3 linked regions of the Rattus norvegicus genome follow. The protein of the gene in region 2 purifies or fractionates together with the protein of the main gene of each other region. This does not show direct contact. Links are inferred from orthologs where the notes say so. Each region holds a gene or a part of one and is shown on either strand. Other genes may lie near its edges.

Region 1 (3,644 bases), on a different chromosome or scaffold from region 2:
GAGACCACAGGTTCACCAAGTGGGTGATAATTTTCACATACACATCCCAACCGCTTCTAAGTCTCTGTCAGAAGTAAAAGCCCATCACCTTCTGCAACTGGGCCAGAAGGACTGTTCTGAACCTCGCCTTAGCTGGTCTGGGATACTCGGTGAGAACGGCTTCACCAATAACAATCTACTACCAAACAACAAACCTGGGCGTATTTCATCAGCATGTTCTCTCTGGGAATACGGTAATTGTCCATCTTCAGGTAGCCGTTATCCATCTCTTCATAACCAAATTTGGGACCGATATCCCCGACAGTGATGCCTACCACAGACAACAAGAAGCACTGTGATGCGTGCATGCGTGCTTCTCGTCCTTGCTTCCCTCCGCCCCACTTAACTGTGCCTTACACTCCTGCAGTTCACCTATTTTCGTCATCTTGTGCGTGGGTGTTTTTCATGCATGTTTGCCCATGTACCACATGGATGCCTGAAGCCCCAGGAGGCCAGAAGAGGGTGTTGGATCCCCTGGAACTAGAGTTACAGCTGGTTTCGGGCCACCAGGTAAATGCTGGAACAGAACCCTGGTCCTCTGGAAGATCAGCCAGCGTTCTTGACTGCTAAGCTATTTCTCCAGCCCCTTGCAGTTTTAATTTTTACCTTGATATCCAAAGAACAATCCTTACCTGGCAAGGGCTTGTGGGTCCCAATTTCACGGATAGGGACAACAAAGGCATGTAACCCGTAGCACTCTCCTTGAGTGATGAGCTGAGCCAGAACTATTGCGTGATTGGAAGTTTTCCCAACTGCAAAAGCAAGAAGCGGGGACAGGAAGTGTGCGTCCCTGCTCAAGGCAGGGTCTCGCCTTCTGATCTTCCCACCTCTAAGTCCCGAGCGCTGGGATTACACGTATGAATCGCACTTGCTTGTGCTCTTGTCCTTTGATTTTTCATTTTCATGGCTCTCTGGTGCAATGCAGGCTTTGGTTCTGGACCTGTCTTTGCCTTTTACCTCATTTCCTTTCCAGTGCACGCCTTTCTTCTCTTTAATAAACTGCCTCAATCACAATCTCATACGTCCTCAAAATGTTCGGCAGTAACAACAAACATTCAAAACATGTTTAAAGAAAAAAAAAATCCAACTTACGTCCCCCAGGCCACCACTTAATGGAAGTCACAGTAGGGCTGTTGAGAATGAACTCTTGGGTCTTGGGGTCATATGTGGCAGTGGTTTCCAAGCCTCGAAGATGAGTTCCTAAGGAAAGACATCACGTGGCCTCAGTACAGCACAGAGGAAAAAGACCAAGAAAACAGACCAGCCGGGCCTCAGGAGGCTAAAGACCAGCAGTAGACAAGCTGTGAGTGACGGGCACAGCAGTTACTGTCCTGTCACACAGTGACCCCTAGGCCACAACAGCAGTGTCCTGGGTGTCGCTTGTGAGTGTGGCTCAGTGGACGTGCCATATTTATTGAGACTAATCAAAAGAAAAGGTAGAGGCAACTACTCCTCTGTGTGACAGAGGTGGCCGCTTCCCTTTAAACCCAGTTCTTGTACTTTTTTTAAAATTACATTTCCACTGGGCAGCGGTGGCACACTCCTTTAATTCCAGCACTTGGGAGGCAGAGGCAGGAGGATCTCTGTGAGTTCGAGGCCAGCTGGTCTTCAAAGAAAGTTCCAGGACAGCCAGGGCTACACAGAGAAACCTGTCTCAAAAACAGAAACAAAATTTACATTTCCTCTGTGTACATTTGTGCCACACGTGCACACGTGCACACGAGCCACAGCCATGTGTGGGAGTCAGCTTTCGCCTGCTGTGTGGGTCTGGGAAGGGGGTGCATCAGGCTCGGCAGCAAATGCCTTTACCACAGAGCCACCCTGCCAGCCTGGGTCCTGTTCCTATGTTTAAACACAACAACACTGACTCTAGTGAACTGTGGGGAAGGCAGACAGACAGCAATCATCACCACCTCAGCCCCACCGAGGCAGGCCTGTAGAAGGTAGACTAAACACACTGTACCATGACCCATCTCTGTCTGCGCATAAGTGCCCGTGATCTCCAAATTCCAGGCCGGCATGAAGAAGCGCTCCTGCTGCTCTGCGGTGGCCTGGTGAAGCAAGGTGGGTAGGAACATGCCCAAGTGAAGGTCCAAAGGCTCAGGATGCCCTCGGTGCACAGAGCTTCGAAGAAATACCAGGACGGGCATTTGAGGGAGGTAGCATCAGGTGTGTAAGAATCAGAGACGTGAACGGATAGAGCGGGGAAGGAGAAAAAACAAACTGTGAGTACGAATTGATCAGGTGCACTTCATCACAATGCGAGCACTGTCCTTTTCTGTGTTATGATTCTCGACAATGTTTGTCTTTCTTATGTCAGCAGAGCCTCAATCATGTAGAAGGTAAGACTCTGGCCCGGCAGGTAAACGAAAGCAAATGAAAAATTTGAAAAGGAGATTTGACCGGGCACAAAGGTGCCCTTTGGTGCCGGCGGACAGAAACAGGAGAACACGGCAGTTCTCTGGGTGATACAATGAACCCCGGCTAAGGTTTTCCTGGATGCAATCAGGGAAGTGTCTAGACTGGGGTGCTGTTTATTCAGGAAATATCTAGGACAGACCCACAGTCTAATTCATTCAAGTTCACCAGATCAAATATTCAACCAGGATCTACTGTGCAAATTAACACAAAAACTGACAGTGCTCTTTATCCCAATAACGGCAGCAATTAAAGACATGCAGCTCCTAGGGACAGCCATTACAGCCGGTGAGCACAGACCTGCGCCTGACGGGCTGTGGTACACTGTTATGCTATTAGACGTGAGCCTGGAGCACAGACCTTTCACCCTCTCAGCCTGCTCCATCTCAGCCGGGCTGGAGACAAGCAGCGCTCACCTGGACCTCTCCAGGGCAAGCGCCTCCAGCTAACCGCTCCCAAGAGACGCAGTGCTTCTCCCCCACTTCACAGGGAATAAAGGAAAGTGGACAGCCACATGCCACATGGCATCAAAACGATGGTGGCAGACCAGGACAAGGGTTTGTAACCGAGTCCTGTCTCTGGTTGGCGAGCTTAACCTTCAAGCCCAGCATGGGTTGAGAACATCCAAAATCCGCATGTTTCTTAGAAACATGGAAACTGGAAATCCCAAAAGGCTGGCTACAGGCAGCGTGGGTGAAAGGTCTGTGGGGACTCTTGTGACACATTAGCGACTCCCTAGGAATCTGTAGTCACTGAAACCAATCAGTGGAGCTGCTTGTGATGATGCATGTCTGTAATCCCAGCACACAGGAGGCAGAGGCAGAAGAATTCAAGTTCAGGGCTGGCTTGGGCCACACAGAGGAATCCTACCTTTAAAAGCCAAACCAAACCAACCAAACTGAACACCTTTTTCTTTTCTTTTCTTTTTTTAATATATAATTTGTTTTTATTTTATGTTCACTGGTGCTTTATCTGTATGTGTGTCTGTGTGAAGGTGTCGGAGACCTTGGAACTGGAATAACAGTCAGGGGTGTGAGCTGCTATGTGGGTGCTGGGAATTGGACCCAAGTCCTCTGGAAGAACAGCCAGCGCTCTTAACCCCTGAGCTATCTCTCCAACTCCAAGATGCCTTTTCCATTCATGAACTCTCCAAGCTTTTAGAATGCCAATGCTAGGAATGGCAGTAT
Region 2 (4,392 bases):
ATACAGTAATTTTATCAATTAGGAAATAATGAAAACACATGCAGGCACACAGATGCACGCACGCACGCACGCACGCACGCACGGCCAGGCACAGTGGTTCATACCTGTAGTCCCAGAGCTCAGGAGGCTAAGGCAGGAAGATCTCAGTTACATGGGGATTTGGAGGACAGCCTGGACTACAGAGATGCTGTCTAGAAACTCAAAAGGTGTGTATACTTTTAGTACAGACAAAAATTTTCCAAACATTTTCTATCCACAGTTGGTTCAATCTACAGATGAGAAGCCCACACACACTCAGGTGGCCTAGCCAGACTTCAGGGCTCTGGACTCCACAATCTATTTCCCCAGATCCCAATTCTACTCAAGACGGCTGAATGCCAGAGTCCTAGATGCCGTGGTAACTATTTCTCTCTTCCTGGGCCACCCATCCAACCTCTAGCTCCTCTCTACTCAACTTAAGTTACTGATAAAGAGGCAGCTCTAAGCTCTCGTTCATTCTCTCCTCCCCGCTTCCTCTCTCTTTTTATCTCCACCCAAACCCACATTTCTCTTTATTATGTTTTGATTACCTGCAATTGCTCTAAGAAGTCACATTTAACATCCTACAGAAATGAACCAAGAACCTGTAAGTCATTAGCAGTCGAACCCTCCCAAGAAGAATGAGGACACCGCACAGAACAGATCTCCCCAGGAGCCTCACCCGTGACTTCGGCGATGAATTCTTGGGACCAGTCGGTCTCGTTATAATCCTGAGCTACATCCACAGCATCTCCAGCGGCAAGAAACTCCTGGGCCCAATTCTCAGACAAAGCCAAGTCTGCCACACCAGGGGCTTATGAGAAACAAGAGAAGAGTGAGAAACAAAGAAAGCAGGTTTCTATCATTCCTTCACGCTCACTCCTGGACCACACTTCCCTTGTCTCCTCTGCACCTCAGTTCCCCCGACACCAGCAAAATCAAACTCTTCTGGCCTCTTCCCTTCTCACCAGGTCCTGAACCCACCTCTCTGAGGAGCCTGGCGAAAGTTTGACTGTTCAATCTCCTGCATCTCCGCCAAGAGGTCATCCATCTTGAAGGTCTGAGGGGCTCGGGATACAAGAGTTGCATTCTGGTCCTGCAGGAATTCTGCCACCAACTGTTACAGAGAGACGGTCAGATGAACTATTAGGATCAGAGGGGCCTCAGCCAGGGGCAGGGCCCACTGATGTCGGACAGAAAAACAAAAACTACAGATAAATAAAGAAAAAAATTCTATCCGTAAATTAGGAAAACAGAAAAATACCCCAAAAAAGTAGATGGGAACACTGGCAAATAAATCTCATTCGGTAAAGAGAGTTAAGTATGCATAGACTGCTTATAAAGGTAGAAAGAAAGAAAGAAAGAAAGAAAGAAAGAAAGAAAGAAAGAAAGAAAGAAAGAAAGGAAGGAAGGAAGAAAGAAAGAAAGGAAGAAAGAAAGAAAGGAAGAGAAAAGAAAAGATCACCATGAGTCAAAAAAAGAAAAAGACAGGAAGTAACCTTGTTCTATTTACCTCATCTTCAGTGCCTACTCCCAAAGGCTTGGAAACCTAAGACAGGAAGGAAAGAGGCAATACACAGAGTGAGAAGGCCAGAGGCTACAACCCAACTTTAACTCTACTGCTTAGGTGACCTGAGGTAAGTCAAGAAAGAGTCTTCACAAAGACTCAGCTTCTTTTATTTTTTTTTAAGATTTATTTATTTCTATAAGTACACTGTAGCTGTCTTCAGACACACCAGAAGAGGGCATCAGATCCCATTACAGATGGTTGTGAGCCACCATGTGGTTGCTGGGAATTGAACTCAGGACCTCTGGAAGAGCAGTCAGTGCTCTTAACCACTGAGCCATTTCTCCAGCCCAAGCCTCCGCTTCTTTGTCTATAAAATACTAGTCCTCGTCTGTGTAAAGATGCACAATGCTCACTCCAGTGTTACGGAGTGGCGACTATTACTTTAACAACAGAGAAAGCAGCTATCCAGGCTGAAGGAATGGACTCTCCTGCTCTAGAACACTCACCGTTTCCGCCGCTGAGGCTCCTGGAGGCCAGGGGCCAGGCCTCAGTCCCTCCTGCCGAAGGGCCTTGTCCTGGGTGAAGTGGGTGGCCAGCTTCATCAGCGGGTTGGCACCCCCACATTCGCTCTCCACCAGCTCCCGCATTGCCATGGTGACCACCAGCTCCCTGATGGACAGAAGATTAGAACTGTGGTCCTGGAGCCAGACTTTCCCAAAGCAAGCCAACAGCCCCTATCTAGAGCAGGTGGGCCCACGACGGTTCCACAAGGGCCAGGCCTCCAGGGCCACCCCCTGGATGGACCCCATCCAGCTGGGTCTGGCGTCCAAGAGGAGGCTGTGTCCTCCTGTCTTCCCACTCCAAGCCATGGCTTTCAGGGCTTGGGCTACCCCTGCAGCCGTCAGGACCGCATCTCAGACACCACCCGCCAGCAGCAGCTCTACAAACGGGCCTGGACCCCTGGGGAGCACGGGTAACGCATCGTAAACACTAGACACCGACTCTAACCGGACAAGGGAGAGCGGGAACGCCTCCGACCGCACACCGGAACCCGCACCCCGGGTCAGGCTGGCGCTGCGGGTCTCAATCTTAGCTCGTGTCACCTGAGCCCCCTCCCCCGCCGCGCCTGTCCACGCCCCGTGCCCCGCGCCCCGCGCCCCCAGCCCGGTCACCCCAGCCCCGACCCCGCCCCACGAGGCTACCGCAGCGGCGGGGACTTGCCCGGACCCGCGCCCCCTAGGCTCCAAAGATCACCGCCGCTGGTCGCACCGTCCGGCCGGCCGGAGTACCTGGGGTGGGCTGGGGGAGGGGAGGGGGCGGGAGCAAGGGGGAGGGACTCGGCCTTAAAGGGGCCTGGACCGCGGCGCTGCGGCCCAGCTCAACGGAAACGGGCGAAGGGGCGGGGCCTCAAACCTGCGCAGCGTGATGGGCGGAGCCGAGAGCCTTAAAGGGGAAGTCCTAGGCAGTTGGTTTGGGGAGTCCTCCAGTAGTCCTTAGAATGCTGGGATTTATTTAGTGGAAAACTCAAAGGAATGGAGCTAGGAGAGGCTTCTCTGGTTTTAGAGGAAAACCAAGGTTTTCCACGGTTCAGCTCTCTCTCCTGGGTTTCCTCCTCCTCTAAATCCGGGGGATTTCGGAGGTCAAATCGTGACCTGCTTCGGCCTCCTAGGCCTGACCCCCTTCCAACATGCTCCTTCAAGACAGCGTCACAGCCTCCAAGGAGACAGGGGCCTGCCTCTACCATTTTTGCGTAAAGAAGAAAATAGCGCCGGATGATGACAAATTCTGGTGACTAAAATAGGGTCCAACGTATTTTGAGACCTCAAGCCGGTAATGGATGGGGAGAGTGAAGTGAGTCACTCCTCTCTCCTCTTTCCTACTGGTCAAGGTCGTGATGGCCTGATTACCCGCAGCTCCGAGTTGGGAAAACGTGGCAAGGAATACCTTTGATCAGGGAATATAAACCTAAGCCTCAGGCTTCACCATCTGCCAGAGAACTGGCGCCGGTGCCAAACCTCAAGGTCACTGGAAAACAAACCTTGATATATCACCTAGGTCCAAGACCAACGGACCTCTTGACGTCCTGGGAAGGAAGGGGACGGGTTCAGAGTGCTGGTAGGTGGGCTAGGAGGAAACTGGTTCTAGAGAGACAGGACGGTCCCCGCCCGGGTAGCGGGAGAAGAAGCAGGTAGGTGGCGCCCTCGGGAAAGCTTGGTTCTTTGCTGCCCTGAAGATTTCAAAGGTAGCCCTCCTCGGGGAACACAGTCTGTGTAAATTCATCCCTGGGAAGATAGAAATTGCCCTTATAACTACAATGGTTGAACAAGGCAGAATATTGTGCAATGTTTCTGTCTTTAGTACACTGTCAATATCTTTCAGAGGCCCTAACACACACCCCCATTCTCCTTGACCACAAATTCCAGACCTGTCCACTGTTTCCAGGCTGCCATTGTAAGGAAAAAAAACCTAGCAACCAATAAACTGAACCACACCAAGGAGGAGAGGATGCCTTCTTGGAAGAGAAATACTTTAAACAGGAGACTCTCTGGAGAAATCAGTATTTAAGGAAAGCATATGATGGTTTGAATTTCTGAACATCGGGGAAGCATCTCCCAGAAGCACTCAAAGTCCATCACACACATAACCTCCTACTGTGCTAGGAGGTTAGTAACTGATTAGCAGAGATTTACTGGGCCACGATCTTGGGAGAGTAATTGTGATAATAACCGATGCTTATGAAATGCATGCTAACCCCCAGGTGTTGCTTTAAGCACTTGGTGAGCATTCACGCTTTTAATCATAATCTTCATAATGCTCCCATGAGAAAGATATTACCAACCTCCTATTACAAATAAGACTTGCAC
Region 3 (3,644 bases), on a different chromosome or scaffold from region 2:
ATGCCATGGTGCACATATATATACTCAGGCATACGAGCATATTACTGAAATAAAAAGATAAATTTCTAAAGAGGCACAAGCTAGCTGCGCGGTGGTGGCTCAGGCCTTCGATCCTAGCTCTTGGGAGATAGAGCAGGTGGACCTCTGATTTCAAGGTCAGCCTGGTCTACAGATGGCATTCCAGTAGAGACAGGGCTACACAGGAAACCACATCTCAAAAAACGAGAGGGAGAGAGAGAGAGAGAGAGAGAGAGAGAGAGAGAGAGAGAGAGAGAGAGAGGAGATATCAAATGAACGCTATTGGTGTGGGCTTCTGAGTCCCTAGCATCTCCTCCAGCCTTCCCTGGGATTCCCACTAAGGACACGTCTGGGTTTCGTGGCTCTCGAGACACTCGCCTGCTTTGCACATGTAGAAGGTGCCAGTCAGGTTGGTTTCAATCACAGCTTGCCATCCCTTCGCAGTGATGTCTTCAGCAGGAGCCATGAACTGGCCCCCTGCGTTGTTCACCAAGAAGTTGATCTTCCCATATTTAGCTAAGGTAGATTTGACCAAATTATTCACCTAAAGAAACATTGAGAGAGAAAGTTTAATCGCTATCCTGCGGCATGGCCCGGTTTTAGAAATACAATGCAGTTTATAGACTCCTATATAATGCATACTAATTCTAAATACTACAACCCAAACACATAAAGCCACCAATGACTAAACCCCCACACCCCACAGTGCGAACTTCCCACTGTGCTAATGAAAGACCCCAGCTTAGCAGCAGTAACGCCATTTTGCAAGGCTGTACTTAAGATGACTGGTTCAGGGAAAGGTTAGAACACTGAGTACACAGCAGCTGCCAAGCAAGATATGTTTGGTTGAAGGCCTGGCAACAGGACGACTGCGGTTGAGCACCTGACAATGAGAAAAGCCCCGGGAGAGGTCCCACACCCTGGGGGGGGGGGGCGAGTCAGCCGTTATGTTCCAAGAAGGTAACTAGGAAACTTGCCCCCGGGCTGAACCCTTGGGGGGCCGAGTCAGTGGTTATGTTTCAAGAAGGTAGCTAGGAAACTTGCCCCTGGGCTGAACCCTTGCCACATTAGAATCCACCAAGTATATCCCTGTAACCATGCATCTGCTTCTGTATGCTTGCTTCTGCTCCCCAAAATCCTATAAAAAGCCCATCCTTGGTTCCGTGGGGCACGCCAGTCCCCCGAGTGACTGAAGCGCCCGCAGGTGCCTGTGCCTGTGTATCCCGACAATAAACCAAATCCTCTTGCTGATTGCATCCTGTGGTGTCTCGGTCTGGTCTTTGGAGTTGGAGGGTCTCCATCCCGAGGGAAAGTTCTCCCTGAGAGCTTTTCACTATACTCATAAGCCAAGATTCTAACTTTGATGGCAAGACACACTGGTGAGTACGGATAACCCCAAGCACAGCAAACCTCAGTGGCATTAATTTCTAAGTGCCGACCTTTAAAAAAAAAAAAAAAGATGAAACCAGGTCAAAATGAACATTAAGAAACGCCTTACAGCAGTGTTTATCAAACTGGGGTCACAACCTCTTTCGGAGGAGGGCATCCAATAACCCTTTTACAGGATCTCATATCAGATATCCTGCATTCCAGATGTCAACATTCTGATTGATAACTGTAGCAACATTACAGCTGTGGAGTACCAGTGTAAATAACTTTATAGTCGGGGGTCACCATAGCATGAGGAACTGTATGAAGGGGTCACAGGATTACAAGGTTGAAAACCATAGCCTTAAAGGGTCTCTAGCTGAGAGGACATTTTTGCTTAGCTTCCCTCCTTCTGAGGTCACCAGCTCAGTAAGTTGGGAGCACAGGCATCAGTCCTTACAGGCTCTGCCTTCTAGTGAGCAGGGGTCAGGCACCGCTTCAGCAAAGGACACTGGGTAAGCACACTGCGCAGCCATGTTTGTCTTACCTCTTCTTCTTTCCTGATATTGCACTGTATGGCGGTGACTTGAGTGCTGCTGGAGGGAGGCTGAGAGGCTCTCAGTTCATCCACAGCAGCGGTTAATCTGTCCAGTTTCCGGGAAGCAATGACCACGTTACACCCTAAGGTGAAAACAGCCAGAGGAATAAAGAAAACATGCTTCTAAGAGCTGTCCAAACTAAGGGGCTAGAAGGAAGGTTGAGAGCACTGGCTGCTCTTCCAGAAGACCCAGGTTCAGTAGCCAGCACCCACATAGTGGCTCATAACTCTCTGTAACTCTAGCTCCAGGAAATCTGACACCCACTTCTGGTCTCTACAGGCACCAAGCACATACGTGATAAACAGACCTATAGGTAAAATACACATACATGTACACATAAAAATAAATAAATAAAGCTATCTAAACTACAAAAACTGTTTTGTGTATTCCTGTAAAGGGTATCAGTAGAAGAGGAATTAGGTTGGTTTTGGACACATTGAAGCAATAGGAACAGAAATGACTAAGAAGCTAGACAACACACACACACACACACACACACACACACACGCACACACACACAGGACAGGGAAGGGACAATTGTTTTGAAATATTCAATGTCAAATGCCACGGGACTAAAAATGAGTAGCCACCTCTGAGAGCACGCAAGTCCAAGAAGGGACCTATGGACAAACCATAGTACTATGAGACGGGGAGTTAAATGGACAGATAGGAGAGGCGCCAAGACTAGGTGGTGAACTTGGGCTGGCTTCTTCCTCACCCTCACTGACTTGTGAGAACAGTCTGGCAGCTTAAAACAAAGGCCTTGTGGGCCCTTTCTCCTGCTTGAAGGGCCTGGCTGATGGACTGGGCCAACAAGTTCAAAGCAGGATCAAGTTACTCAATAGTTGTGGGCCAATCAGCCATCTTCTAACTTATTGGAGGAAAACTCTTCAGAGACTTAAAAAAAAAAAAATCTCCAGCCCTCAAGAAGAGACTGGAATTTTTCACTTCCTGTGTCTTCCTTCAGCTTTGTAGAATCTTTTTCTCTATATCTGCTGCTGTGTGCCTGTGGTGGGTGAGTTCTCTCTGCTGCTACCTGTGTGCCTTTTAGTTCTTTAATTGCAGGGAAACGAACGCAATCAAGACCCCCAGACTGTAGGTATCATGATCACTGTAGAGAGCTTCTAGACTACAGAACAGAATAAACTTATTCCCAGCCTGGAAGTCTCTGGAAGTGGGAGAGATGAAGTGAGGACTTCAAGGAGGCTAGGCAGATGGTCACATGAGTCGTGGGAGAGGAGAAATGAAGGGGATTTTTACAGTCTTGCTTGGATTTCATCCAAGCCAGCACAGATCCGTGCATGGAAGGACAGGGACAAGGTGGAGCCCTTCAGAAGGAGCCAGGGAAGGAACCCAGCATTCAGTACCAGGAGTAGGGAATCTGTTGACCACCACCCCCAACAAAATCTTTCACTGGGTAAAGAGTGTAGCATTGGCAGGGAAGTGGCATTAGCCAAAGAAGAAAGGCTTCCAGGACCAAGTCTTAATTTTAAGACGTTGTTTGGAAATATCAAACTATTTTTTTTAATATTTTATTTATTTATTATAGATGAGTACACTGTAGCTGTCTTCAGACACACCAGAAGAGGGCATCAGATCCCATTACAGATGGTTGTGAGCCACCATGTGGTTGCTGGGATTTGAACTCAGGACCTCAGG

What was found.
Region 1: the proteins of Pex5 (region 2) and Acox1 purify together in Homo sapiens (affinity purification with mass spectrometry; 3 studies listed by BioGRID, with this or other methods). This does not show direct contact. The link is inferred for Rattus norvegicus from reciprocal best matches to the Homo sapiens genes PEX5 and ACOX1.
Region 3: the proteins of Pex5 (region 2) and Pecr purify together in Homo sapiens (affinity purification with mass spectrometry; 3 studies listed by BioGRID, with this or other methods). This does not show direct contact. The link is inferred for Rattus norvegicus from reciprocal best matches to the Homo sapiens genes PEX5 and PECR.

Annotation. Positions count from the first base shown.
Region 1 is NC_086028.1:101,913,062-101,916,705, forward strand, and holds part of Acox1 (peroxisomal acyl-coenzyme A oxidase 1), read right to left. Parts: intron 2,164-3,644; coding exon 2,003-2,163; intron 1,240-2,002; coding exon 1,132-1,239; intron 792-1,131; coding exon 672-791; intron 311-671; coding exon 195-310; intron 1-194. UniProt on the Homo sapiens protein: Involved in the initial and rate-limiting step of peroxisomal beta-oxidation of straight-chain saturated and unsaturated very-long-chain fatty acids.
Region 2 is NC_086022.1:158,979,814-158,984,205, forward strand, and holds the start of Pex5 (peroxisomal targeting signal 1 receptor), read right to left. Parts: upstream 2,921-4,392; 5' UTR 2,731-2,920; intron 2,684-2,730; exon of another isoform or gene 2,537-2,683; intron 2,198-2,536; 5' UTR 2,182-2,197; coding exon 2,035-2,181; intron 1,568-2,034; coding exon 1,532-1,567; intron 1,136-1,531; coding exon 1,003-1,135; intron 833-1,002; coding exon 701-832; intron 1-700.
Region 3 is NC_086027.1:81,365,780-81,369,423, forward strand, and holds part of Pecr (peroxisomal trans-2-enoyl-CoA reductase), read right to left. Parts: intron 2,068-3,644; coding exon 1,934-2,067; intron 563-1,933; coding exon 397-562; intron 1-396. UniProt on the Homo sapiens protein: Participates in chain elongation of fatty acids. Catalyzes the reduction of trans-2-enoyl-CoAs of varying chain lengths from 6:1 to 16:1, having maximum activity with 10:1 CoA. Has no 2,4-dienoyl-CoA reductase activity.